4 linked regions of the Oreochromis niloticus genome follow. The protein of the gene in region 3 interacts with the protein of the main gene of each other region in a pairwise test. Links are inferred from orthologs where the notes say so. Each region holds a gene or a part of one and is shown on either strand. Other genes may lie near its edges. The genes, in order: lats1, gng4, tfip11 and cfap206.

The links.
Region 1: the proteins of tfip11 (region 3) and lats1 interact in a two-hybrid assay, tested with the Homo sapiens proteins (2 studies listed by BioGRID and IntAct). The two-hybrid records come from large-scale screens. The link is inferred for Oreochromis niloticus from reciprocal best matches to the Homo sapiens genes TFIP11 and LATS1.
Region 2: the proteins of tfip11 (region 3) and gng4 interact in a two-hybrid assay, tested with the Homo sapiens proteins (2 studies listed by BioGRID and IntAct). The two-hybrid records come from large-scale screens. The link is inferred for Oreochromis niloticus from reciprocal best matches to the Homo sapiens genes TFIP11 and GNG4.
Region 4: the proteins of tfip11 (region 3) and cfap206 interact in binary tests that used the Homo sapiens proteins (3 or more experiments, as listed by UniProt). The two-hybrid records come from large-scale screens. The link is inferred for Oreochromis niloticus from reciprocal best matches to the Homo sapiens genes TFIP11 and CFAP206.

Annotation. Positions count from the first base shown.
Region 1 is NC_031980.2:17,320,868-17,327,863, reverse strand, and holds the start of lats1 (serine/threonine-protein kinase LATS1), read right to left. Parts: upstream 3,019-6,996; 5' UTR 2,842-3,018; intron 2,334-2,841; 5' UTR 2,223-2,333; coding exon 1,893-2,222; intron 765-1,892; coding exon 677-764; intron 1-676. Other genes in the region: nucleoporin Nup43, read right to left, coding at 4,064-4,293, 4,966-5,082, 5,185-5,336, 5,439-5,574, 5,661-5,823. UniProt on the Homo sapiens protein: Negative regulator of YAP1 in the Hippo signaling pathway that plays a pivotal role in organ size control and tumor suppression by restricting proliferation and promoting apoptosis.
Region 2 is NC_031978.2:23,724,631-23,732,264, forward strand, and holds the start of gng4 (guanine nucleotide-binding protein G(I)/G(S)/G(O) subunit gamma-4), read right to left. Parts: upstream 3,021-7,634; 5' UTR 2,425-3,020; intron 1,150-2,424; 5' UTR 1,143-1,149; coding exon 1,044-1,142; intron 1-1,043. UniProt on the Homo sapiens protein: Guanine nucleotide-binding proteins (G proteins) are involved as a modulator or transducer in various transmembrane signaling systems.
Region 3 is NC_031977.2:17,583,288-17,591,087, reverse strand, and holds the start of tfip11 (tuftelin-interacting protein 11), read left to right. Parts: upstream 1-4,796; 5' UTR 4,797-4,942; intron 4,943-5,866; 5' UTR 5,867-5,868; coding exon 5,869-6,074; intron 6,075-6,166; coding exon 6,167-6,326; intron 6,327-6,423; coding exon 6,424-6,580; intron 6,581-6,680; coding exon 6,681-6,808; intron 6,809-6,925; coding exon 6,926-7,087; intron 7,088-7,313; coding exon 7,314-7,505; intron 7,506-7,660; coding exon 7,661-7,800. Other genes in the region: si:ch211-166a6.5 (clustered mitochondria protein homolog), read left to right, coding at 79-152, 337-862; srrd (SRR1-like protein), read right to left, coding at 2,459-2,699, 2,789-2,940, 3,175-3,273, 3,370-3,563, 3,644-3,684, 3,776-3,918. UniProt on the Homo sapiens protein: Involved in pre-mRNA splicing, specifically in spliceosome disassembly during late-stage splicing events. Intron turnover seems to proceed through reactions in two lariat-intron associated complexes termed Intron Large (IL) and Intron Small (IS).
Region 4 is NC_031980.2:28,784,641-28,791,581, forward strand, and holds the start of cfap206 (cilia- and flagella-associated protein 206), read right to left. Parts: upstream 3,015-6,941; 5' UTR 2,912-3,014; coding exon 2,842-2,911; intron 2,801-2,841; exon of another isoform or gene 2,751-2,800; coding exon of another isoform or gene 2,690-2,750; coding exon 2,568-2,689; intron 2,487-2,567; coding exon 2,403-2,486; intron 718-2,402; coding exon 627-717; intron 1-626. Other genes in the region: uncharacterized protein LOC100698705, read right to left, coding at 5,363-5,595, 5,692-5,825, 5,956-6,146, 6,278-6,402, 6,537-6,729. UniProt on the Homo sapiens protein: Essential for sperm motility and is involved in the regulation of the beating frequency of motile cilia on the epithelial cells of the respiratory tract. Required for the establishment of radial spokes in sperm flagella.

The sequences.
Region 1 (6,996 bases), on a different chromosome or scaffold from region 3:
CTTTGATCATACCGTCAGGAAAAGCCACTTCTCTCAGCCCAATTGAGGCATCTGAACCTTGCCTCAGTCACCTAGCCAGATACTTTAATAATTTCAACCAATTATTCTGCTGCCTCAGATTCTCTTAGAGTGGATGGTTGACTTCCAAGTGGCTCTTTACCTTGCTTAACTGCGTGTTGCCTTTCTCCCTCAATGAACTCGTATGTCCCCTTTCAATTAATGTGTCACACCTTCAAAATGCCCTCAATTTCACAACTGTGTGAATGAACCTGGGAATCCTTTTGACACAAGTTTTATAAAGGATTTGTATTAAACATTTGTCAGTGACTCACACGCAATCCTTTACTCCAGGGCATGGTGGATAAAGACTTGCATAAATGAGAACTTTTAGGGTTTGCTTTTTGTAATAACTAGGCAATACAGACGCCCTATAAACTGCTTATTTACTAAACAAAGACAATATTTTCATCCTTAAAATGTGTCACAACCACCACTCAGAATAAAAACCCAAAACCTTCCAGTCAACTTTTTCCCTTCAGTGATGCAGTGACTCATGCTGTGTGTCAACAGCACAGTTATTTCTTAAAGCAAATGTCCCAAATCCCTCAAACAATATTGAGGCTGGATGGATGATAAAACAGGAGAAGCAACAGTTAATCCCAGAGGACTGACATACCTGGGGGTTTGAGGCCTGCAGAGCTGGGGTTGGAAACAACCTTACCCATGTAGTCTGTAGCCGGCCCTACACCGTGACTGACGCTTGGCTTAAGAGGGAAAAAGAAATTGAACACAATTTTTTTTTAGAACTGAGCAATAAAAGAGGAATAAGACACAAATAGGCCTATAGTGACATCTTTAATTCACTGTTTTGTTCTGTCCAACAGTTGAATAGCAATCTATAAACAAACACAGAAAATCCTCCTGTACTGATACTACAGAGACAAGAACAATGGCAAAAAAAACACAAGAGCAAAGATTTGTGTTGACTGATGATGAGGTGGAACTAAAACCACAGACTGGGAGTAGTTGGAAAGAGAACATGGTGACATATTAGATCTGCATCTAGAGCATTTCCAGAGTAAGTTGTGCAAATGGAATGACTGCAATGAAAAAAGAAAAAGAAAAAGAAAAAAAGAAAAAGAAAAAGTTCTTCACTTTTAACTTGTGCCAAGTCACACAACTGGCAACATTTTCAGGCGTCTGTCCTTAACTTTGAGTAATTTGCTAACACATAAAAACAACAAGCAGACAAACAGAACCAGTCACACAACCTCTTTAACTGCAGGGCTTATTAATTATGGCAAAAATCATAATCACAGGTGCTTTAGTTAATACTGACATCATAAATAGTAGTTTTATGTCAGTTATCTTATTTTAATGACCTGTGAAAGCCAAAATTGTAGCTTAAATGAACAAATTTACATCAACTATGACATACTTTGACTAAAGGACTACATACCAAATTCATACCTGGATTGCATGCACTTACTCAAAACAAGTTGTAAATGCCAACTGAGAAACAAATTCTTTACTCTGAACTGTACAAGCTTGTAATTCCACTTTGCATGCCTCTCATTTTCTAAATAATTTCACTCAAAACAATCTGTTCCCAGCGATTACCCTCAATTACAGAGATATGCACAGAACGTCATACCTCCACAATCATTCAAAACAATCCCTAACTATATCTAAAAACAGTCAAAGGAGCTTGCAAAGAAAAGCGTCTGGACTTCTTTAAGTTGCTTGAAGACCTTTCACCTCTCATCCGAGAAGCTTCTTCAGTTCTTCAGTTAACTTAAAGAAGTCCAGACGCTTTTCTTTGCAAGCTCCTTTGACTACGATGACCTGGATGACTGAGAACCTTCACAGATATATCTAAAAACATTTCTCACCTCCTCGAGCCCTGCAAAACGGGGTTCCCGCTGGAAGCCTGAAGTGTTGGGCTCATTTTTAAAAGGCATGAGGGCCTCACGGATCTCCTGTAAGGTTTTGTGGTGAGGGTTTTTCGGGTTGCTGCTGCGACCCAGTTGCCTTGAATCCTCTGGGAGCATCTTCCCTTGTGCACCAGTGTCCACTTTAGGTGGGTCTGACGGTTTCGACAGGTTGCGCAGGCTGTTCCGTATTTCCTGCAGCATCTGTTGGCTGTTGCCACTGTAGTTCGTGACGGGAAACGTTTTGGGTCTCCTCTGCCGGTATCCTTCGGGTTTCTCCCCTCTTTTCATGTACGAGCATGTAGGATGACGATGAAGAGGGATGAAGAGGATTTCACCAGTCCAGAGTTGCAGTGATAGCACAGGATCTTTGATGTCTGAGCTCACATCTGCATGCTGCAGCTGGAAAAATATAGAGTGGATGTTATCCATGAGAATGTGAGTGTACTACTTTACAGATAAACATAAAATATGGGAATTAGTAGTAGCCAATAGCTAAAACAGAACTGGATCTCGTTGCTTTTTATTTTATTTACAAGCTAAACTGTGGTGTATAAAACTTAAACCTTCAGACGAAACCGTTTTCCATTACAAATCAATAACTCACCCACTTGCTAGCGCTATTAGCACTGTTCGCTAACAGAGTGCTGCTCTAACGCGAACGATCCTGCGTCAGATACTAGCATAAAATGCCAAATACATCCGACAAATTCGCCATTAAAATCACAACTACCTAACGATCCGTAAGCTTCTGCCATCGTAAGTTTTCTCTGTGTTAAATCCAGCGGCTCAGCAGTGCCTCCGCGGCCTGTGTGCTAAAGGCATCCATTTGCTTCTAGGCTAATTCAACAACAGGATGCGAACTAGCCTGTTAGCTCGAAGCACAACTAACAACAGTTAGACAACTTACCAGAACCCTCAGCTGCCGTTTTTCCGCCACAATTTCCTTCTTTCAATGGGTAAAGACTATTGCTTGACGTTCCTCGGTGACAAGGACGCAGTTTTAGCTCAAAACGTCCTTGTTGTGCCGTGCTGACTGGCTAGTCGTGTAGGATTCCTGGGATGTCTGAATGACAAGTACAACAGCTCCAAGCTATAAATAAAGCTAACGAAGAATACTTCCGTTTTTCAAAATAAAGTTCCGTTAATGTAAAAGACCTTTTTTTTTTTTTTTTCAATTGAGTTTAATTTCCCAGTGCATGGAAACTCGTTTAAACCACTGAAGAAAAAAGCATGTAAGTCAAAATTTCGCGTTATTATTTTGAAATTTAGATTTAATAACTTGACTTATTGATTACTGACGCCAAATTTCGATACTTCTCAATAAGTTAAAATTTTTAGATACATAACTCGAAATTCTGAGATAATCACTCCAAATATCATGGCATTATGTATTTATTTATTTAATATAACTAAGTAATTATTTATCGATTTTTTACGTTTTTATTGGCTTGGGTATTCGTTTGAGGTTTCCTTTTATTTTAGCACAGGGGCACTTGACATGGGAAAGATTTAAGATGGCCTGAAAATCCATTACAATACACACACAACATTATGCAAAGAAATTTTGGAGCCATGTAAAAATAGTTTTAGTAACCCTTAATTTAGGAGTGTTGAATATAGTGAGCCAGCAAAAGACGATCGAGCCCACTGGACACCTTTGGAAGATGTGAAGGAGGGCATACATTTTGGACTTTTAACTATATTTTCATACATTTTAAATGCATAATTGACTAGGAACTTTAACTTTTAAAGCAGGCCTGGAAATAGCCCTGGGAAAACTGTAATCTAGATGCTGAGTTAGAGCTGAAGTTGATCTTCTAAGAACGTAATGAAAAGATGAGTGATCAACTTTGAATTTCTGTATTTATTAAAAAAAGAAAAAGAGAGAAAACAGCTCAAATGAGGCTTGAGACATTTCTATTAAGTATTTTTATTTTATAACTGTATTAAACGTCATCTGTACAAAAACCATTGTTGGGTTGAACAATTCTGTCCGTGATGAAAAAGACAAATAAACAAATAAAGCCAACAGCCTCATCATCCAGTATTTTACACCTCCTGTATGACCCTCAAGCTGACACCAAATAAACATCTTCATCCACATCCAGTCTGAGGCACTAACATCGCTTTTAAACCGGGACCTGTCTGTTGACAAAAATAGCCTCTCCATCGGTGCCGCACACGAGACACGGACCGAGCACGTCCAGGCTGTTGACGGACAGCGTCTGGCTGGGCAGCATGTGAGTCGTCTCCAGGCGGCCTTTGCTGGAGTCTCCACTTAGCCAGGCACTGATCAGGGACTGGTTTCCTCCGGCTGGAGCCATTGCACTGCGGGAGACCATGCTGCTGTTTCTGCCCCCTAAAAATACAAAAACACTTATTACATTATGAACACAGAGGAATTAATACTATACTCTTATTTTATTAAGAAATAGTTTCCTGAGGAAATTTACAGGCCAACTTGTTAACTCCTGGCTGATTGAGTGTGAGACAGTGAACAGTATTGGCTGTAACTCTTGCCATTTGTACAGGTGTTCCACAAGGATCTATTCTTGGTCCTCTTTTATTTGCTCTGTACATAAATGAGGAGGCAGAGTGGGATGTCTACCAACTGGAAGGTTGGTGGTTCAGTCCCTGGCTACTCCAGTCCGCATGCTGAAGTATCCTTGGGCAAGATACCGAACTGTGAATTGCCCCCGATGTACCAATCAGAGTGTGTGTGTGCACAAATATTAGACAAGGTGCTTAGGTATTGGAAAAAAGCACATGTATGGATGTTTCTGTGTGATTGGGTGAATGATGCTTGTAGTAAAAAGCGCTTCGAGTGCTCATTCAGAGTGGAATAGCCTTATATAGCCACCAGTCCATTTACAACAATTAAAACTCCTTTTGGGCACACTGCTGCTGGAGTACAGCTTTGAATGACAGCGGCGAGCTTTTTCTTTGGCTCAAAATGTCATTCTGAAGGAAATTAAATTAGTTGGTAAATAGTGTAAAAAAAAATCATATTTATACCACAAAGCTGACTTGCCTTGTAAGAAGGAAGGCATGTCTGAATGGGAGGATGTCTCCCAGTGCAGCAGCGAGCCATCCTCTGAACATGTGAACAGGTGATCTGGGTTGGTTGGGTGAAAGTGGACCTCCCACACTGTCAGGAAAACCAAAGACATACGTATGAAACCATTATTTACGCGCACAACATCTTTGAATTTACGTTTTAATACATCTTCCCACAATAAGCCGACTTTACTTTCAGCCGTATGTGCCTCCATCAGTGAGAAGGGCGTGTTGCCTTGTCTCACATCCCACACACAGAGCATGCCATCCTGGCCTCCTGTGGCCACGATGTGCTGCTGGTTCGGATGTCTGTCCACGCAGTGTAAAGGAACTCGATCCCCTGACCTGGATGAACAGAAATCAACTCATCAGACTTGCTTATAATTGAAATAAACAGGAAGGAGAAAACAAAAAACTTTGTAGAATGCATTTTTTTAGAGCTCTTACAGGGACAGAATCTGTGATGGTGAGTTGCTTTGCTGTCTGAAGTCCCACAGTTTGAGCTGACCGATTGAGTTCACCGTCAAAATCTCTGTGGTCCTCAGATAAGTCACTGCATGGATTGTGCTGCTGTCGGCATTCTCTGTCAAAGGTTAAACAGTCCAATAAAGATCTTAGTTTCAACTTGTTTCACAGAACTTAAAAATAAACTCTGCTTCTTGAGCTCACCGATGACTCGAACCACTCCCTCCTGGTCAGCTCTGAAGACGATGATCCTACCATCTTCACCCACTGTAACAATTTCCGGGCTGCTGCACACGACGCTGGTGCAGGGAGCGTTGTCACAGGGATAACGATGTGCTCTCGCCCAGAGCTGAGACACCGAAATGGTCTGTAGGCAAGAGAATTGAAACAAGAAGTGAATCCAATGAATCCAGCATCCCACTGAGCAGTCTGTCTCATTCCCCTCCTGAATAAGGCTTCACTAAAACTTATCGTAATTTAGTTTGATGACATGGCCGAGGTTGTCACCCTATGTAAGGAGCTGGTCCACTGTAGTTTCTTGCTTGAATCTTTGTGTTAAGTATTTTATACACAAATGTCTGGTTTCATACTTTTATTGTGAAGACGCTGAAGAAAGGTTCAGTTAAACTACTTTTTACTGCTAAGCAAGACAAATTCCCTCCCACTGTAGATAAACTCTGCAAGTCTACACTTTGTTATCTCTAGTCAAGGGTTAAGAGTGAGGTCCAGTTCAGTTTACTGGTCTAGTCTGGTTCGTTACAACATATTCCTGTTTTGCACAAGACTGACTTTATAGATCATTAAATACCAATTATACAACCGTGTTAATTTCCTGATATTTTAGTTTAAATATATTTCGTTTAAAAATAAAAGCTCAGAGTAGAATCACCACTGCTTTGTGTCGATCTGATCAGGATCATTTTGGAGGTTTTCGCGACACGCACGACCGGGAGGGGACCCTGGGATAGACCCAAAACTCGCGGGCCAGTTTGTTAGGTACACCTGTTCAACTGCTCGCTACAACAAAAAGAAGAACCTGCCAGTAACATGGCTACAACTCAGTGCATGCATGTAATCATGGTCCTCCTGAATTTCAAACTGATTATCAGAATGGGGAAGAAACATGATGTGGTTGTCATGGTGTCAGACAGGCTAGTTTGAGTATTTCAGAAACTGCTGGTCTACTGGCATTTTCTTGCACAACCATCTCTGGGGTTTAAAGAGTATGGTCTTAAAAAGATAAAATATCCAGTGAATTACTGTCAGCTGAAGACAGGAAACTGAGGCTACAGTAAACATGGGCTCAACAAAACTGGGCAACAGAAGATTGGGAAAAACATCACCTATTCTGATGAGTCTCGATTTCGGCTGCAGCATGCACAAGGTAAGGTCAGAATTTGGTGTAAAGAATGTAAAAGCACAGAGCCATCCTTCCTTGTATCAACAGGTCAAGCTGCTGGTTGAGTAATGGTCTCCAAAGTCACCAGATCTCAACCCAATAGAGCATCTTTGGGATGTGGTGGAACTAGACATTCAGATC
Region 2 (7,634 bases), on a different chromosome or scaffold from region 3:
ACTGCTAACGGTTCTTAAGTGCTGACAAGGCAGGGAAACCGTCTTCTTGGGACGCCAACTTCACCGACTTTCTCTGACATCCTCCATTATCAGAAACGTTGTCTTCAATTTGGATATTGTACTAGAGCTCACTCCAAATAATGCTGCATCTTGGTTCTGCAGAACACCAGCTTGAAGTTGTCCTACAGCGCAAGCACTAAATCAGTCAAACGTGGCATGTTTGGATTGGACACCAACTGACCGCTGCAGCAGGGTCCATTAGCTTGCCAAGTTGGCAAGTTTTTCATGGGCGCAACCCACAAATGCACTTTCCTTACAAGTGGGACCATTTAAGGAGAAATAAACAAGATTTACAACGGTATAACATTTATTCCCAAGAGGCTTTTTGTTACAACAAAAAGAAATTGACCAAAGACAAATTTCCTTACTTTTTGTGCCAGGTTTATTTTGATCTACCTCAATACATCTGACAGCAAGCCAATTCAACCCCACTGTGGAAATGAGGATTCATTTAAAAATTAAATAAATAACATTCAAACAGCTGGGCACTGTAGTGTTTACCAACGGTGATTCAAACAGGAGTAATTAGTGCATTAATAAAGGATGCAGATTTAGTGCACGAGTGAGTATTTTAAACACGAGGAAAAGCCCATGCAGTGTGGCTAATCGATGCATTTTTCCCAGTTTTTGGACGACGGCACCATCAGCTCAGCCATTTCTTCTTTTAAACAGTGCTACTGTGTGCAAATATGAAGCCATGAGAGCCAAGCGTGATAATGTTGCCAATTGTAGGCAGCAAAGTTAATTTTGTGCTTTATTCAGACAAAAATGAGCAAAAATGAAATGCTTGCTGAGAACTGTCACTCATCGAGACGCGCCTATTGAACTGCTCCAAAATCCCAGCCGATGTTAGAGGCACACAAAGCTTTCAATTCCATGATAAGTGGAGGTACGGTTTTTGAGTAATTGCAGACTTGGTAACAGAAGTGATGTGAAAATATTTGTTCACGTGCGCAGACAATAACAACAATAAAGCTTTGTACCTTTATCCTATCCATGCAGGCCTCCATCTTCAGTTGCTCCACAGCTTTCCTGGCTTGGGAGATGCTGGCCGTGCTGTTGTTGGCGATGCCGTCCTTCATGGTGCTCCTGTGACGCCAAACAGATGCAAGGGGAGAGGGGGGGGGAAGAGAGTCAGTGAACGTCACATTAAATCAGCAGCCCCCCCCAGGCGAGAGCTCTACCCTGATGGAGCAGCAATTCTCTAGTACAACCTCACCCCTTCCTTTTTACACAGTAAAACTTGGAAGGACCCATTTTGTTTGTCCATTTATTATCTGAAGAAGCTGCTCTGTGGGCATCAGCTGGACAGCAGTTTGTCATTTTTCAGCCAGCACTCATGCATGATTGTTTTTCCTTCCTTTGTCACGTTATTCTTTAGACCAACTGGCTGGGGGAGAAGTTAGCAAGGAGTGCAGTGCTGGCAGGGATTAAGACACTAACACACACACACACACACACACACACACACACACACACACACACCTAGTGCTTTGCTCAAGTGCACTTCAGCAGGAGTTTATGCTGGTACACCTAGAAAAGCAAAGCACCTGCAGCTTTTCCCCAGTTCCTCCCAGGATCTGCAGATCTTTCCACTGCTGGCCTTCCTCCTCTCAACTTTCACCTCAGGAGTGCATCAGCTGCAGCTCTGCAGATCAATCCCCGCAATCACTAAATCTTACTCCCATTTTAGCCTCCTTGAGCCACCCCCACCCACCCAGTCACCACTGAAATGTCCCAGTTTGGCAGCAACGGCAGAAATATGTCCACAGATGTGTTTTCTAATAATTTGCCTTAAGAAATGAAGCATTTCACTGGAGGTGAGGGGTTGCTGAATCAATCCCCCTTTCTATGATAATATGCATTATTATTATTGCGCATCGATTCTTGATTAAAATCACAAAAAAAAATGTGTTTATCTTAAAGCAGACGGTCGAAGACGACAAATTCATCTGCCATCCCTCCAGCCTCCACAGCTCGACGGCCAATTTATAGCTTTTAAATCACACCCTCGTAGGAAGCCATCGGGCCTTCTCCGTTTAGGTTTGCTTTGGATGCATCCATCCTGAGGGTTGCTCGGCTGTATTCGCCCCTTTGCAGTTTTATCCAAATGCAACGATGCTGCTAATTGCTGATGCAGATCTGTGAAAACGCGGGCGACTATTTATTTCTAAGAGGAGATTAATCTGTGGACACACAGCGAGCTGCGGCCCTGGTTAGAGCAGAAAACAGCAAACCATGCATCATGTGGGGGGGAAAAAAAGGAGCAGCAATGATTTTTGCACTGATGATAAACATTTTGAAATAAATCCCTGCATTGGTCGGATACGCGCTCATTAATGTAGCCTGCAGCGGCCGACCTACCTGAAATGTGCCAGTGGTTTTCCAATTTGGGAGAATTCCGGGTTGACTCCACCCAACACACACAGACACACACACAGAGACGCGCGCACACACAAAGATCTGTCAAATATGAAACGATAAGAGGAAATCCCAGCCTAGCTTCGGTCTGGACGGAACCCGAGGAGCCAAAAATCTCGGCGTCTTTAAATGTCGCCTCGGCGGCTCGCTCAGTGCGTATTCCGTGTAGGAAGATGAGCTCCAAGCGGTGAGGTCTTGGTGAGCACCACGGCTGGACTTGGAGAGATGTTACGCAGCAGCAGCAGGGGGGGAAACCTCTGTATGACGATCAGATACAGGCTGTGGGGCGGGGAGCACTCGATCAGTGGACCAGGAGCAGCAGCAGCAGAGAGCCGGGATGAGCTTCAGCTGTCCAGAGTGGCCGTAAACGCACCGACGCTGCCTGTTAGTCAAATTAGGAGCGGCTGTTTCTAATTAGCTTTATTGCTGCAGAAGGCAGCGCAGGTCTGCAGGCTTTCCCCGTTTCGTTTATCATTTTATTTTCTATCAGCGTTGACATCACCGTGTCCCCCTGATGGCCTCACCCTTAACGACTGCACGCGCTCTTAAGCGTGGCTTGCATCCTGATAACTTTTAAAAATTTTAATTTGTTTTTCCTGTTCGTGCTTCCGATCTGATTTATGCAGTACGACACGAGTTTCTGCTTACTTTATGTCCCTGAACGCAACCCCTCCCCCCCCAACACACACGCACACAAAGAAATGGACACAATCAAATCGATGGAGGAATATTTCTTCAAATATTTATAGATTTTTATATATTTATAATATGCTTATCACTTGGTTCATTCAAACACGCACACACATACAAACAAAACTAAACATTAGGAACCTTCAAGATGCCAAAACTGCAAAAAAGAAAAAAAAAGAAAGAAAACTAGCAGGAGGGGCCAAAATACAACTTAAGCAACCTAAAACGATGATCTTAAATTATGCATAGCTTTAAGTCATTAACAGAAAAATATTTCCTTCCGTCAGAAAATCTCCTGTCACATTTTCTACCTGCTTTTCTTTTACATTAAAAAACAACAACAAAAAAACATCCATACAAACATACATTTGGGTTGAGAGGTTGTGGTTCACAAAGTTTTTTCATACATTTCACAGAGGAAATGTTCATACAGGAACAATCAGTAAACAAACACAGTAACATGTCCACGTAGGATCAGGAAGAAAAATAAATCAGGTCGATGAAGCGAAAAGGAATGAGTTAACAAGAAATAATCCCTTTCTCAAGTAAGTGTATGACGTTAGTCGTCACCGGGCGCTGCAGTCACCACAAAAGGGAAAAAAAACTAATTGTTTCACAGCTGTCTTAGAAAAAGAAACGAAATGAACCCTGGTTTCTTCCCACATGAAACAAGGTAGCAAAAACATGACCTATTGCATGTCTGTGTCTGATATTGCTTTCTGGATTTGATTTATTAGTGGAATTAAATCAAGCTCAGTTCGTGTTAAGGCCACAGATCATTGGCTCTACTTAAACTGAAGTAGCTGAGGGGGAAAAAAAAAAAAAGTGCTTCTGATTCTCGTTTAAGAAACCGTTAAGTGCAGTAACGTAAGTGGGAATGTAAAGAAAAGCTACATGGATCCTGGAGTGAGTTAAGAAAAAGAAACAGCTGCTCGGCCGTTTCCCAGACCGATGCATGTAGTGTATATGATATCAGCCGACGCAACGCTCTTTACTAAACACTCCCACACCCACTGCACCCTTTTAGTAATGCTGCACAGGTGCTAAGTAAGTGTGGGAGATCAGTGAGGATCACGGAGCATTCAGGAAATCACTCTCTCCTCCGCCTTCTTCCTCCTCCGACCGCAAGTATCTAACACAGTTTGTTAATTGCTTTCTCAAAAAAAAAAAAAAAAAAAAAAAAAAAAAATCAGCCCTGTAAAGTAGTGAAAAGTGGTTCTTGTGCATTTAAGCGACGGGTAAGACAGAGATGAGCCTCCATGGTGTTTTTAAAGAGCAAATGGACTGGTTTAACCAAGGGAGGCCTTAAAACAAGGAGCATCATTGCAGCAAATGTCACATCCACATTCACACAGTCAAGGGCAGCATCATCCTAGCATGCAAAAGCAGGACAGAACAACAGGCACCCACAAGGTCCCCTCGGTCCGTCCACTGAGGTCAGACACAAAGTGAAGCAGGTTCGTGACTCTAGTGTTCAGATCTGAGTGGAGCAGACAGCGCGGCGGAGGGACGTCTCACTCCTGCAGAGCGGGACCTCTCCTGGCGACAGACGCGAGGAGGGGGCTCCCCTCCCTCGCAGCCACTGCAGCGTCAGCAGGACGCGCTCACTGAGCTGGGGCGGCGATCTGTCAGACCGCACGCTGCAGGAGACGTGAGCGATGTCGAGGTGAGACACGAGGGTCTTCACACTTTGAGTCTGGCTTTGTCCAGACCATAGCAGCTTACCAGGAAACGGCTAAATCAACACCAGCCAACAAAAACACATCAGCAGGAATTAAAGACTCGACAAATGAAACGCACTCTCAGAAATACATCCTGTATAAAGTGTCTGATGCAGCCTCAGCCAAATACTCAACCATTCCTGCAAGAGTCCATTTTAATGTATTTATAAATATATACTTATGTACATATAATACTATTTTCAGAATCATTTCTTGATGCTGGGAATGGCGGCGGTAGAGTTTGCTCTGCTGGGGATGGCTTTATTTAAAAGTCAGGGAGGGTTCAGAGAGTTTGAGGACATGCTGACATGTCCTCCTCTCTATCAGTGCAGACAAGAGGAGGAAGAGGAGGAGGAGGAGGGGAGGTCCTCTTGCTGAGAAGTGGACAGGAGCAAACATCACACAAACACTCATCCTGCAGCATAGCTGCTCAGGAAGGAGTAGAACATGGGCAGCTTCATGCGCTGCTGGTCCCGTCGACACCACGCCATCACCGTGCCCTCGCTGTTGGCCGTGTAGAGGTGGTGGCCATCACACGAGTACGTCAGGCTGAGGCAGACACAAGAGGAGACCGTTAAACTTAAAATGCTGACGAGCATACAGGCGTGGCATAAAAGTACAAAGAGAACAGCGTGCTGTAAACAAACCTGATGATGGGCTTGCTAGACTTGGGAAATGTGATCTCTCTCACTGGTTTCAAATCCCAGGTGCTCCATAACCTGAAAACATATCAGAGATTAAAAAAATAAAAAATAAACCGTGCAGGGAGCGGGATGTCAAACTCATTTTACATCGTGGGCCACACGCAAGCCCAGTGGGCCAGACAAGTGAAACTCCTGTCAATCCAAAGAAATTTAACTACACATTTAATTCCTGGGATCTCTTAATATGAGAAAACCAGCAGTGCAGTTTCAACAAGACATCTGGGATTTTCTACATGACAGAAATTCTGCTGCAGTAAAAGAAATCTGCCAGCACGACTCTTTGGGCTTAAATCATAAGAAATAAATGTGTAAAATTACAATGTTCCTGTAGCTCTTTGCTCAGACTCAGAAAATTTCCTATTTTATTCTCCTTTTTTAAAAAACCTTCAGAGCTATTGTAACATAAATAAATAAATTCTATAGCAGAGAGTGAAAAACAGGAACTTTCTGTCATGTAACATTTACTTATTTACAGTTAGATCCATAAATATTTGTACAGAGACCACTTTATTCTAATTTTGTTTGTAACATCATCACAATGATTTTTAAATGAAACAACTCAGATGCAGTTGAAGTGCAGACTTTCAGCTTTAATCCAGCGGGCTGAACAAAAAGATTGCATAAAAATGTGAAGAACTAAAGTATTTTTAACACAATCCCTTCATTTCAGGAGCTCAAAAGTAATTGGACAAACTAAATAACTGAAAATAAAATGTTCATTCCTATAACTATATAACTTCTATGACTATATTTGAAATATGTTTCAGTAAACGTAAAAAAACAAGCTTGTGTTTGTGTCCATATTTATATGGACCTAACTGTATTAATTAGTTTGGTGAGTGACCATGGAGTGGATCTATATGAGAAGGAAAAGCTGAAGTCCAAAAGTTATTCCCTCCTCCGCAATTTCCAAAGCTGTCTAGTGGAACAGGACACAAATGTAACGGCAAAAGAAAAGTTTTGCCTACCTGACGACGCCATTCTCCAGCCCACCAGCGATAACATTGACAGACACGCCCTCCGGCTGGTTGGAGAAAGCCAGAGAACAGATGATCTCTCTGCAGTGGACATGCCCAATCAGGTCCCCGTTCACCGTCCACAGGCGAAGGTCGCTGCCTCCTCCCTCTGGAAACAAAAGAAGCAGAGCCATAACTCACACCAAGGACAAGAAGACACTTCAATAACCAGAAGATGAGACACGATAAACACTCGGGTTATAAAAGAAGACGCCCGCCCCCTCATACCTGAGTCACACACTGTTGCGATGTCCCCCGTGGTCTCGCTGGCAGACACAGCCATCACCGGGCTTTTGTGGCCTGTGAGACTCTGTACATAACAGAGTCTGGAAAACACAGAAGAGCTCAGCAACCACACAAACATTGCATAATGCATTTTCTTCTTCAACAAAACAAAACAAAACATAAAAACCTTTCAAACACACTGACCTGTTCAGGTCCCAGAGGATGCAGGTGCCATCATTGCTCACACTGATGAGGATGCTGTAGGGTTTGCAGACAAACAGGCTGGTGACTTCCCCCGTGTGCCCGTACAGGTGAACCTGAGATTCCACCTCCATCTCTGATGGCTATGTAGGGAAATACATGTTAGAGACCACACAGAGAAGCAATACAGATCCAAATGTATCTGTGACTCGTATATATCGCATCTTGCTTTTAATGTTTCCTAAAAATCTCCATTAATTAAACTCAAATTGCCCATCGGTAGCTGCTGGAAGTCCCTTTAGAGACAAAAATGGCAAATCCACATGTCTACTGGTGGGGACTGACAAGGTCTGAAAGCTTCTCTGATGACTGAACTCTGAGACCTCTAATCCCACTTATGGGCTCGGTGGAAATGTGTTTCAAGGGCAGCTGTGATGTGACTAATGAAGCTGAGCGTTTGAGCGCAGTGAGGCTGCCTAAAGAAGAGGGGGGGGGGGGGGGGGTGTAATCGGCGGTGGTGGGCGGTTTGGGTGTTCGTGTGGAGGCGGAAGGTTAGAGGGGGACGTCGCCATGGAAACGCACCGTGGTGCTGGTGA
Region 3 (7,800 bases):
CCTGAGAGCATACGTGACTCTCTCTTTCAAAGGAAAAAGTAAAGCATGCTAAACCCCATTGTTCTCAATTTCCCCCAGTGTCTCAGTCCAACATCCGACATTATTCTGGAGCAGATGGTTCTTGTTACGGGGATCAGGAACATTACACAGAGGTAAATATTCATAGTGGGATGGCATACCCAGTGTTAAAGCAATGTGACAATGCACGTCTCAAGAATGGACCCAAAAATGGACTTTAGAAATGATGTTTTAAATTCTAGTTGGATTGTATGTGGCTTACTTCAGTATTAGCATTTCTTATGTATAAACCCACTTATGACATGACTGTTTTCACAGCAATAGGTTCCAGGAGTATAAGCAGAAGCATCTGGAGCTAAAGGCTGCAGTGGTGAAAGAGCTGGGACTTAAACTACCTAATGTCGGCTCAGTGGCTGTGAATGAAGGAGGGAAACGTTCAGATCGAGAAACGGGATGTGGGAAGGAACCAGAGGGTGGGGGAAACCCAGCAGCAGCAGAGGATACAAGCAAGTGCCAGCAGGACCAACAAGTAGAAGGATCTCTGGAGAGCACTGGGAAGGTTTCAGCTAATGGTCATGTGATTGAGCCAGCTAAGCAAAACCAGCAAAAGGAGAAAACCAGTGCAGAAGGTGACAAAGCGGCCTCTGATAAGGTCAACACGGTAAATGATGAGATGGAGTCAAGCTCAGGCGAAATAAATGGAAGGATGGACGTCCCTGCAAGCCCATCGGCCCTGAGAAGTGGCGTGAGCTGGGCAGATGTTGTTTCAAAGTCCAGAGGCAAAGCTACAGCCGTAAATGGAGAAGGAGATGGCAGCACTGCCGATGGAACAGCTGAAGAATGATCACGAAGCAAACAAAGAGTTGTAATCGAGTTTTCCAAAGTCACTGCTGTAAGATTAAAAGCTCTTCCAGTATTTCCTGATGAAATTTGATCCAATGAACAAGAAGGACAGAATGAGTATTACTTTATGCTGAAGATTTTACCCTAGTACTGACTCTAAGAGGGTTTAACCTTTTTGTTTTGTTTTTCAATAATAAACTTTTTACCTTGTGTATTAAAAAGTGTGCCTTCAGGTTTTGTTTTGTTTTTTTTTTTTTAAATGCACTTACATGACATGACTTTATATCATGTTAATGTGAATTTTAAAGGTATCAACTCTATTCATCTGTAAATCAGGATGCATGTGTCCTAATAAACCGACCAAATTTGAAGTTCTATTTGTACACAGGTGAGCTGAAGCACTGGAAGGTAGAAGACTGTAAAATAAAAAGGGTTAGCTTTTATAAAATCTTGCTATTCTATATAAAAGTTGAATCTGACTGGTTCAAACATAAGAAATACAACTTATTGTCTTTATATACTTAAATTACCAATGTAACAGTTCAACCCTATGAGAATTTCCATTCATGTGAATATAAATAAAAAATTTGTAGAGTTGATAAAGTTACATTTTTGTAACATGCTAATGTGTGTTTGCTTCTTGGTGGGATGTGGGTTTTTGTTTTGTTTTGAACATCTGACTGTGGAGACCAATTGAGTTACAGTATTCAAGAAACCAGTTTATAATTTGAGCTTTGTGACATGTTATTTTGCTTGAAGCAGCCATCAGAAGATGGGCACTGTGGTGTTTAAATAATGCCCAGTTTGCACTAAAGAGCCAAATAAGTGTCAAAATCTCCCAAACAACACTACGAGCCTGAATTCTAGATGTAAGGCAGGACGGATCCATGCAAATCACTTTCCATGTGAATTGTAGCCTCAGTTACCTGTTCTTAGCTGACAAGAGTGACAGCCGGTGTGGTCTTCTGCTGCTGAATCTCACCTGCTTCAACATTGTGTGTTCAGATATGCTCTTTTGCATACTTTGGTTGTATCGTGGCTAATTCAGGACCAGATACATAAAATGTTACAGTTCTATTAAAGAATTTGTTACAGCTGAATAAAGTCAGACTTTATGAGCAGGATTTGTTATTCAACAATTTAATTCTTGTGCTTTTCTTGAATAGATCGCATGGTCCACAGTTCAAAATAATCCTCATTTTATAGTGGGCCTTCATGCCCAGTCCCTCAATTTGTCACTGTTTGTAAAGAAGCTGTTTTAGCTCTCCTCCATTTTATGCCAGCTTTCTTTTGATTGGCTTCTGCTTACAAACAGAGGGTTTGAACAGTAAGTGGGAGGGGCTTCTGTCCCTTACATCTGGAACTGACCAAATTAAGGTTCCCTGATGGTCTTAAACAGCGAGTTTAGGGCAGTCTGATCCCTGAGGTTTTAGCTCACTGGAAAACTCTGAAACGTGGTCAGTGTTTAATATGAAAACCCATCATTGTCACCATATATAATTAAGTAAAAGTACAACAGGTCCATTAAAAAAAAAAAAAAAAATTGTCATATGAATGACAACAGTCAATAAAAAACGTCCCATATCCATCTCCTGCCTCAGCTCCGAGTTTCCTTCAGTATAATCTCCAAATCAGGGCTGTGCTGGTACTGTGGCTCAGGTGACTCTGCCCAGGTAGACTGTGGGAGACCGTTAAGGCTGTTGGAAGGAAATGTGATGACTGCTGTGTCATTGAAGACGTCTATCAGATGAGATGGGCATGCGAGCTTTCTCTCCACACTAAAATCCACAGCCTTACTGATGTAGCTGTAATCTCGCTTAAACTCTTTCTCGATCGTCCTGTTGGGGAAACAGACAGATGTCAACTTCATCTCCACTGCTCTTGCTTAAACGTTGACTCCATCGTGCACGTGTCTTCTCGTACAAACCTCTCCCTCATCCCAGTGAAGCTGTTTCCGATGATTATCATCAGAGGGAGACCCCGTGCACTCCAGTTCTTCCACAGAAGGTTGTTGTAGAGGGCTTTCCCACAATGCATAAGGTAAAAAAATGTGGGTTTTTCTACCAAACGTTTCCCCTCCTGAACAATACAGACACACAGGATCACACACTGTTTGCACAGTCTACTCCCCTAAACAATGTTGTAGTCCCCATTTTCAATATAAAATGGATAATAAATAATAATATAGTTGAAATTTGAAAGAACTGTAAAGTTTTATGTACTATATGACACAGTTCTCTTTAGTATATGCCTATTAACAGTGTTTGACTTAATTACCAGGACAAAAAAAAACATGAGGGAGCAACAACTGACCTCATTTTCTGAGAGTACAGTCAGACCCAGGTCTCTCAGAACATCTCTCTCTCCAGAGGAGAAGACTGGATCATAGACAGAGCAGTCCTTTAGAGGAATCTGAAGAGATATTAACAGGGAGAAACATAATATGTATAACAAGCAGGGTCTGGTGTGAATGTTTGTCATCTAACTGAGGATGAAGCCTCCCCTGACCTGTCCTGCTTCCAGTAGAAGAAGCAACATGGCAAGCTGGTAGCGGGCTGAGACACAGGAGGCAAACGGACCGAGACCATAACACACACACTCCAGCTGCTGGCATGTCTTGGTTATCCGCTCCGGCTGGTCCTCAGCGTCCTTGTCCGCTGGAGATTTTGAGAGAGATGCTGATGCCGCCACCAAGAGCTGCTCTAAAGGCAGAAAGACAATCACACACACAGCTGCAAGCCAGATGTTTGGTGGTAACCCCAACTTTCAAAGCAAAACCTACCCTTCCAATCTTGCCAAAACTCTTTGCATCTTAGTTCAGACCTGCAGAGGTGAAATAAAAGCAGAGTTATGGGACTGTGGTGAAGATGAGACGTCCGAGGTGTTGCTGCTGAGCTACACTTTAATTTCATACACGGTGTCTCTGATGCGTTTAACAGTTTTCCCGACGTCCAGCGGCTCCTGCCCGCATGCTGCAGACACCTGAAGAGACTTTGAGCTCCTCGACGCACCTTTTCGTCGCCGAGCCACCCGCCACTCCCCTCCGGTGTCCGACATTTATGCTAACTTAGCACCAATACCCCAGCATATCATTAAAAAAAAAATACTCGTCCAGTTATCAAAGAACGAAAAGCATTTTTTTTTCTTCAGTAGACAAGTGACCAACATGTGGGAATATTTTGGGTGTAACACGCGTTTCCTCTTCCGGCGTTACGCCAAATTTGTAGTCCATCAAATAATATCCACCTGGTGGTGGTGTGCGGTCATTAAATTACTTTACAAATAATGCACAGCTCGGTTGATTTAAAGAAACTGCGACATTAATTTTTTGTATTTATTTTAAATATTATTATATATAATTATGTATATTATTGTGAAGCAAACTAGAAATTGCCCCGTTGTTTTTAGCTAATTTTGTTTATTAATACATTCTCATATAGGACTTTGGAGGGTGGTTTTATGTATGTTTGTATGTACTTATTTAATATTTTATTTAACCAGTGTGTCCCAAATTACAGATCCTGATTCACTTTTATAGTAAGAGAAGTCAGTGAGACTTTTATCTTTAATAATTTTAGGTATTCATGTTCAAATATTGCCTCAAGTTACTGCGAAATAATATTCTGAAAGTGGGTAGGCACATTTTTTCTAAATAAATAAACACATAAATACATTTTGAAATGTAGTTGATATATTTAACATATGAACCTTTCTTAAACTAATAGGATGATGTAATATGAATTTCTACTAACCTGGGGGAAAAAACTAAACTGAGTTTATATACCGTGTTTTTATTATTATTATTATTATTATTATTATTTACTACTGAAACGAACATTACTTCACAAAATAAATGAGATAAACGCATCTTTGCCCTATCTATGCCAACAGTCATTACTAAGAACCAACGAAATTTTTTAGAGGGGTACAGATTTTGGTGTAACACCATCATACCGGAAGTACTTGTGTTGTCGTGCACTAAACGAAGAGGCTATTGGCGTTAGTGTGGATTACTTCTCATCGTTTTTGAACGAAAGCATGTCCAATTGATCTCCACGCAGACCTTTATATAACTGTTCAGGTGCGTTAGAGAACACGGTGTTTACACTGCTTGTCAACACTCGAGATTATTACGTATAGCAAGACATTTATGCTGTAGAGGGTAACTAACCTTAGCTATAGCTAGTTATCGTTAGCTTACATTGTGTTTTCTCCACAGAGATGAATTTGTTCGGTGTCGTTAGTGTCAACTAACGAACCAAATATTTGAGATAGTGATGTGTGTGTTTAAGACGTGTCTCTATAAAATAAAAATTTTCTTTAAATTTATACTGATCTAATTTTTGCGACACTGTTGCTGATCTGGAATCTGCAGCAATAGAGCCTCAAAGTGTGGACAGGCTGACAGATTAGTTCAGATAGGATGTTCTCAGACAACGTTGTGGTCTGTAGTTAGAGTAGGGAGCAGGTGAAAGAGAGCCTGGACAGCTGGAGGTGTGCTCTGGAGAACAGAGGACATGTGAGAGAATGAGAGAGAGAGATGGGTGTAAAAGTAACGACGAGGAGGGATAGTGGTTTGATATGGAATGCAAGATATAGAGCTGCCAGGCAGGAGGAAAAGAGGAAGACCACAGAGGAGGTTCATAGAGGAAGTGAAGGAGGACATGCAGAGTGTTGCTGTGCTAGAGGAGGATGTTAGGGACAGGGTTAGAGGATCTGCTGTTGCGACCTCTAAAGAGAGCAGTTGGAAGAAGAAAAATGTTATAGCTCGAAAATATTATGTTTTATTATAATGTATTTGACTTTGTTTTTCCCTGTGCTCTGAGCTACAACTCATTGCTTTCAACAGTAGATTGAGTTTGATCTGTTGCTATGGAGATGGATGTATTTTATTATTCTGATCCCATGTCAAAGGTCTTTACCTAACCTTTAAACGAGTAGAGCAAATTTATTTGAAATTACTTACATTTCTTTAAATTGTGATTTTGTTCATTATGATCTCCAGAGATGTCCATGTCACACCTATATGGGCGGAGAGATGAGGAGGAGGAGGGTGTTGAGGTTGAGAGCTTTGAGGTGACAGACTGGGACCTGGCCAATGAGTTCAACCCAGACCGCCACAGGCACAGGCAGACCAAGGAACAGGCCACTTACGGCATCTGGGCTGACAGGGATTCAGACGAAGATGAGAGGCCCAGCTTTGGTGGCAAGAGGTGAGGCGTGGGTTTGTTTTTGCTGTTGCCCACAGCTTTAAAGTCGGCCATTAGTAGGAGATTGAGTTTGCTGTCTGTGTTTTTATTGCTAGATCTAAAGACTACACTGTCCCAGTGAGCTTTGTGAGTGCTGGTCTGCGAAAGACGGGAGCAGAGGAGAAACAGCTGAAAGGGGAAGGAGGCTCTGACGACTCTGATGATGATGGTCCTGCAGCTCCTCCACCTTCTCGTGCACCCAAAAAACTCCAAATGGTAAATTTGGTTATGTGTGATTTGTTTGTGTGTATATTGCACATAAATATCTCAAAGAAGTTTATAGGAACAATTACATGCTGAGTTGTTTTGCTAGGGTAATTTCCGTGGGAATCAGTCACAGAGGTTTGCAGGTGGCATACAGTCTGGACAAGGCATTGGCAGCTGGGAGAAGCACACTAGGGGAATTGGGCAGAAACTACTGCAGAAAATGGGCTACCAACCAGGAAAAGGCCTGGGAAAGAATGCTCAAGGTAGGAATGGCTGAGGAGGCAACAATATTGAAGTATTTAAGAGTATTGTGTGTATTTTAGAGCTGATCTACTTTGTTCTTCCATGCTCTCATTGCTGCAGGTATTGTAAACCCTATTGAAGCAAAGGTTCGTAAGGGAAAGGGGGCAGTCGGAGCCTATGGAAACGAGCGAACTCCGCAGTCTCTCCAAGATTTTCCTGTGGTGGACTCTGATGAAGAGGAGGAAAAGGTAAAGTGTGGACAAAATTTGGCTTTTCCTTTTTCTACAAGTAAGCAGATGTTGAATTGTAAAGTCTTTTTTTTTTTCTTTTTTTTTTTACATTAATCTAAATTTGTGCTGATGTAGGAGTTTCAGAAGGAGCTGGGCCAGTGGCGTAAGGATCCTGCAGGGTCGGGAGGAAAGAAGAAACCGAAGTACTCCTACAGAACTGCAGATGAGCTCAGAGCTAAAGGCAAAGTGGCGGGGCGGGCTACAGCGGCATCTGCTGGGGAGCTGGCACAGGTCAAGGTATTAGTGCTTTTTTGTCCTTTCTCAGAGGTGTGTTATAAGGGCACTGTGGCATGGTTGTTTTTTACAGCAAACTTTAGCAGCTAAAGTTAATTGTAGTCAGTATTAGACTCTATGGGTGAAGTTGTTTGGTGTATCTATGTAAGCACATGCACTCTGCTATTATTGTTTGTTTTTTTGTTGTTTTTTTAACCTTTTTTACCCCGTACCTGCCCCCGGTGCCTAGGTGATAGACATGACTGGAAGAGAGCAGAAGGTGTACTACAGTTACAGTCAGATATCCAACAAGCACAGCGTTCCTGATGAAGGTCCACCAAGCATGTCTACTCGGGATCAGAAGGGATCAGGCTTTGCGCTCCCTGAGCTTGAACATAACCTTCAACTGTTGATAGACCTTACAGAACAGGACATAATACAGGTATGAGGATACCAAAATTGTTTTTCCAAATATATTTGACTATAACTGAAATACCTTCTTATTAGATCAGCAAACTGGGGCTTCCTTTATAATTTAGCAGATTTTTATTATTTATTTTTTTAATCTCTTTCTTTTTTCATATAACCCCGGTATAGTCTGCCAGACGTCTGCAGCATGAAAAAGACGTTGTTGTTTCTCTGAGCCACGAGTCGAGAGCCTTGCAGAACAGACTGGATACGGAGCAAGATGCCATCCAGAGAATGGAAGCTGTGCTGGCATTAGTGGAGCGTTTTCC
Region 4 (6,941 bases), on a different chromosome or scaffold from region 3:
TGCAGCAATGTGGATGCTTTATTGGTCTGTAAACGCAAAGCTGTTGATTTACCCGTCAATCTACATTCTCATCCTCAACTACAGTTACGAGCTCTGGGTAGGGACTAAAAGAATGAGATTGCAGATACAAGCGACAAGAATAAGCTTTCTTCAAAGGGTGGCTGGCCTCTCCCTTAGAAACAGGAGTTAAGTCATTTGAGAGGGCCTCAGAGTAGAGTTACTAATCCTCCACAACAAAACTAGCCAGCTGAGGTGGGTCAGGTATCTGGCTAGGATGCCTCCTCGGTGAGGTGTTCCAGGCATGTCCCACCAGGAGGAGACCATGGGTAGACCAATGATACGCTGAAAAGATTATGTCACCTGGATAAGCTTGAACAAGTAGCTGGTGAGAGTTAGGGCTGAGCTTCTCTGCTTAGACTGCTGCCTCTGCAAACCGAACTCAGATAAGATGAAACTAGATGGATGCTAATAATTGGTCATTGGCATTTGTAGATGTCACTCTAGAAACTAGACAGATGTTGTATAGCAAAATAAACCTAAAAAAAAATGAACAACCTCTAGCAAGCTTAACATGCATTACATACATGTATTGGTGCCACATAAAATCAGAATGAGCTTATACTTACATTTCGTGGTATAATTCATGTCAAAGTACACCTGCATTTTGATAGTGTCAAGGGATGGGCTGCACTTTTCTGTGAGTTTATCCAGACACAGCTGGAAGACATGTTGCAGAGGGAGACATTTTCACTGCTAAGCAGATGACACACAACTTTATCTATCCATGAAGCCAGATAACACACACCAATTAGTTAAACTGCAGGAATGTCTTAAAGACATAAAGACCCGGATGACCTCTAACTTTCTGCTTCTTAATTCAGATCAAATTGAGGTTATTGTACTCGGCACTGAAAATCTTAGAAATATGGTATCTAACCAGATTCTTACTCTGGATGGCATTACCTTGGCCTCCAGTAACACTGTGAGGAACCTTGGAGTCATTTTTGACCAGGATTTGTCCTTTAATGCACATATTAAACAAATATGTAGGACAGCTTTCTTCCATTTGCGCAATATCTCTAAAATTAGAAATATCCTGTCTCAGAGTGACGTTGAAAAACTAGTTGATGGATTTATTACTTCTAGGCTGGGCTACTGTAAGTCATTATTATCTAAAAACTTGCTGAAAAGCCTTCAGTTAATCCAAAATGCTGCAGCAAGAGTACTGACAGGGACTAGGAAGAGAGAGCATATTTATCCTATATTGGCTTCACTTCATTGGCTCCCTGTTAAATCCAAAATTGAATTCGAAATCCTGCTCCTCACATACAAGGTCATAAATAATTAGGCCCCATCTTATCTTAAGGACCTGATAGTACCATATCACCCCATTAGAGCACTTCGCTCTCACTGCAGGCTTACTTGTTGTTCCTAGAGTATTTAAAAGTAGAATGGGAGGGAGAGCCTTCAGTTTTCAAGGACCTCTTCTATGGAACCAGCTTCAAGTTTGGATACGGGAAGAATATAGTTAGGGCTGGATCAAGTGACCCTGAATCCTCCCTTAGTTATGCTGCAATAGGTGTAGGCTCGTGATGCATTGAGTATTTCTTCTTCAGTCACCTTTCTCACTCTCTATGTGTTAATAGACCTCTCTGCATTGAATCATACTTGTCTTAATCTCTAGCTCTCTTCCACAGCACGTCTTCAATCCTGTCTTCCTTCTCTCACCCCAACCGGTCACAACAGATGGCCGCCCCCTCCCTGAGCCTGGTTCTGCTGGAGGTTTCTTCCTGTTAAAGGGAATTTTTCCTTCCTGCTGTCGCCAAAGTGCTTGCTCATAGGGGGTCTTATGATTGTTGGGTTTTTTCTCTGTATGTGTTATTGTAGGGGCTACCTTACAATATAAAGCATCTTGAGGCGACTGTTGTTGTGATTTGGTGCAGTATGAATAAAAATAAATTGAACTGAATAGATTACCATCATTGCTTGTGTTAGTCTTACACCAAAAGCTTTCGAAGAAGGGGTGAAGTCAGATTCAGCAGTAACAAGTCTAATATATCTTAATAAAAATTTGCTTTACTGTCATTATTGAGTAAGAATAATAGTCATAAAGAGAAATCAAAAACAAGGAAAAAACAGAAACTACAGAAGTAAATGAAATAGCCACAAAAAAACAGGATCTAAAACATCAGGACTCAGAAGAGGAGAGCGCAGCTGCCACTCCCTGTTTGAAGTTGCCTCCTGTTAAAAGGAAACGTCTAACTCTTGGCCTTTCTCCCATAACCCTCACTAAATGGGGAAGAAATGCCTAATTTTGAAACAGAACAGAACTTCGACTCAAACATACACAATGATTTTCAGAACCACTAAAACCAATTAGAAAAAGAAATAAAGCAGCTCACCTCTTCGAGTTTTTGAACATCATCTTTAGTAAGGGTCCTGTCAACATTAAAGCCATTTCTTGGGTCCAGCACCACAGCAGTCACCTGTGGATGTTTGAAAACATCATGAACGTGTACAGCAGCAGCGTTAGCTCAACGACTAAGTGCTTACTTTGCTTTACCGACCATAAAAGCTGCCAGCGTGTCCGACACCGCGTCTCCCCTCAGCCTGCACTCGTGCACAATGTGCCCGATTACGGTTTTAAGCAGGCTTTCCGCACCAGCCTGAGCCATTTCTACCGGCGGACCTATGGCGGATTGTTGATAAGCAGTTGCCATAAGTAACGGTGCAAATTTGCTAAGATTCATTTCAGGTATCCACTAGAGTGCGCTACAGTTTGCTCTTCATCCTTTAAGTTCTGGGGGAAAAATACAAACAAAAAATTAAAAGCATACACACCAGAGCCAACAAGACTCGAATAACGGAATGAGCTTTTACCGTGACTCGTGTTTAGATGTTTTGGCGGCATTCAGGGTCTTTATCGCTTCAGGACACGTGGAGAGGGTGACACATGGGAGATGACCAATTAAGACTGCAGAGAAGCGGCATCGCAAGAGTCCATGCTGGTGGGCGGAGGGGGGGCCACATTTCTGTATCCATTCATATCTAATGGCATTAATGCTTCAAGATTACCAAATATATATATACAAAATTATATTTGAAGAGCCTTCCAAGTTTTTAAACATCTTTCCCATCTTTAAGGACATACCCTTAATACCCTCAATTGAAGAACAGACTTCAGTACATAGATGAAATCTCAAGTATCAGCGTTAACCTCCTAGGACCTGTCATCCACATATATGGACATCACATTTTGTGTTGTCTAGACCAAAATACTTTTAACTTTTAAAGTTATTAAGCCATAATCATCAAAATTGTAACAAAATAAGGCTTGAAATGTCTTGCTTTGGATGTGATGAGTCTATATCATATATTAGTTTCAACTTTTAAGCTGAGTTACTGAAATAAACTTTTGCACGATATTCAAATTTTCCAAGTTTCACCCGTAAGTCTTCATCCATCCTGATAGTTTTGACTGTGTACTTTAGTTGATTATTGTCATCATTAGGCCTGTCTTTACTGGATGCTGTGTATGTTTATAGGCACTGGTAATGCTACCATTAACAGATCAGTCTTGCTAGCTTGGAAGTTGTAGTGGGTTGAGCTAACACCCATTCCACCTGTTTATATTTGGTTTACTTGAAGGTCTTCTTTTACCTTTCATTATCAGACAACACAGGAACACACCGGTTTCATTTAGGCAAATATGAAAAAGCAGATCCATTTCCGTTTTAGCCTAAACATTCAGAGAAGTCTACAACTGAAACAAAGTCAGCACAGCAGGATGATGATTACAATATTTATTTATAAAAAATAAAAATAAAAAAAAATAAAATGACATGGTTCAGGAAAAACACTGCTGGACTCGGCCCAGCCTTTTAAGTACAATTAGGAGAAGAACCACACAATCCATTAGAGACTGTTCACTTCAAACTTGCCACAAACGGCAGCTCCTGCTGTCACAGTTCAGTAATTTCCACATAAGAGCAAAGCTCTAGGCCACATGACGAACCCTGTGCTTTTAGACAGTCACTTAAAAATACAAAACTCATGCAAAGTACACACACAAGTCCAAAACAACACACACACACATGGAATTCAAACTCATGCAACTGAATTTCATGCACAGAATAATAAATAATAAAAATCTTTAAGTGTTGACCAAGTCTAATAGCATGGGTTGCCACTGGGGTTTGTTTTTTTTTTGTTGTTGTTGTTGTTTTTGTTTGTTTTCAGAATTAATAGGAATTGAGCAGTTTGGCATCACTGGAACAGCGTCCACAAAAAGGATCAGTTGTGCAAGAATGCATGTAAAACACAGTGGTCCCCTACAAAACAAAACAAACAAAAAAAAACAAAAACAAAAAAAAAAAAAAAAAAAAACAACAAAAAAAAAAAAAAAAAAAAACAACAAAAAAAAAAACAACAACAACACAACCCTCACTGAAATGACACCACACTGAAAAAGATATAGAGTTCACAATGTACCAGAGCAACACGTGCAACGAGGTCTGAGAAGAACCAACAACGACCTCAGGAAAAACTCATGTACACTGCACCCATCTGATGAGTATTAGGAGCCACTCCATTCAAGGGATTCTGCACAGAAAAGAATTTTTTTTAAAAAACAAAACAAATATATTCTGTCATGTGTTATAATGACAATCTGAGTCATATTATAACGAGCCACTACAACGAAAATTTGGTATTACCTAAAGAAATCATTAAAAGTTGCATTGTGACAAATCCCTTATTGCAGAAGATTTAAGAATAAATTCTGCAGAGCTCTTAATACTCAACATTCAGTGCTCAAAGAATCACAGCAGGTTACAGCTGGACCACCATGTGTAAAACAAAGTATCATGATTCACATAAAAAGCAAAAAACCAATAAATAAGGTTTTTGACAATATCAGATTAATGGACAATTTAAAGCTGGCACATCAAAATTTCTTCATGTTTCTCAACTGCGTATTCTGGAAACAAAGACAGACATGAATTAAAGGGCAGCTTCAGTTCCAGCCCCTTAATCACAGAACATGAATATATTTAGGCTCAAGTTCTTGGGACACAGAAATTTAGAATTTAAGACACACTTAGAGGTTTTATAGTGATAGCAACAACAATAGTAAGGATGGGAACGTTTAGATCAACTTCCTTATTGCCGTGTTAGTGGGCTGTATAGGAAGTGCATAAGGTGTAAGCAGGAAACCTCCACTAAAGAACAGGGGAGAGAAAATTAAGAAAAACAAAACAAAAGATTCCACAGAGAGGGACAACGGAGGGACAACAGCTGAGTCCCGTTGGCTCAGCAGCCAGTGGCACTGTTGATGAAATGAGCCATCAACCTTTCAGTCGTTTCAGAAGCACTTCCTGAAGACTATCTGCGGTCCATACTCCTCGTATTCTTCCCGACCGATCCATGCAGAGGTAAAGGTGGGCATATTTGCCAACACTGCTCCTCCTCTCCACACTGAGGAGTCTCTATCTTTGGGGCTGGTTACACAAACACTGCCCCCCATGTCTGAGGGCAGCAGGCCTTTGATTTCATCCTGCAGTCGCTCAGGCAGGCCGGGCAGCAGAGTGTTCCCACCTTCAGGAAGAGAGGACAAAACAAATAGAAGCAGAATTTGGAAAACCATTGTACTTCAGATTGTAGTGCAACACCTTACCAAGAACCAAATGTTACCTGAAAGTACAATGTTTCCCAGGAAGCAGCGCCTCAGGTCAATGTCTGTGCTGAGGATTGACCTGTAGATGCTTTCGTGCATCCCATAATGGTCCCGTCCAATCAGCTCAGGTTTGAACAGAATCTCAGGTGCCCTAGATGAAAAGGGGGTACACTCTGCTAAAGAGTCTGTGCTATACAACAAGCAAGGTGACCGCAAGATCATTTCTAAGACTTAAGTGTTGGTAAACAGCAGGAAGCAGCCCCCCACCCCACCAGCATTACCTGAACCTCTCTGTGCCGAGGGTAATAATCTGCCCATCTGGCATGGTGTAATGCATCTCTCTGCAGGATGACTGCCCCCGACTTAGCTCATCTTCATAGTTGAGAGCGACACAGCAACACTTCTCCTTCATCTCCCTCACTATCTCCTCCTCTGCTGTGGTACGCATGCACACTCCTTGTTCCCGGAGAAGCTTAAAGCACAAGCACAGCAAGCTGGTTTTGCCTCATCTTTAAACTAAATTAGGAACCATCCAGGGATTATGCCTTCCAAGCAATCAATAACATAGCTCCTACACTGGGCATTAACAGAAGTGCTGAATACCTTTTTAAGATGCAGTGTAACATCTAATCCAGCCAGGGGAAAGCGTTGCACAGCATGAGGTAGACAGTATCCCTCAAACACAGGTACACTGTGGCTCACTCCATCCCCAGAGTCAAACACCACACCTATATCAAATACACACAAGTAGGATCATAGGATCAGATTTGAGTGGTTTAAATACACCAAGCTGAACAAAGTCTTCAGACAAGCCATCATCCGTGTGCATCAATCAGTGCGTGAAGACGAGCGACTACAGTACCAGTGGTTCTTCCTGCTGCGTAGAGCGCTAGCACTGCTTGCATGGCTACATAGGTGAAAGGCACGTTGAAACACTCAAACATGATCTCAACCGCGTGCTGCCGATTCTTCAGGGGGTTCATGGCTGCTTCAGTCAAAAGAACTGGGTGATCTTCTGGTTCCACGCGCAGCTGCTGGAACGTATGATGCCAGATCTAAGAGACAAAAAGTCAAGCACCAAGAGTAAATGAGCTTTTGAACAACCACCAATACTTTATTTCTCTTGAGGGAAGCATGTTAATGGGTGGGGAAGTTGCAAAGTGGGTGAGCTCTCAAAACACAGACATTCAAACTAGACTAATCCACAGGGACAAATAGGCCTGCAGCTGCCCTCTGAGCCTCAGGAACATATTCCTGCCTGTGAAGT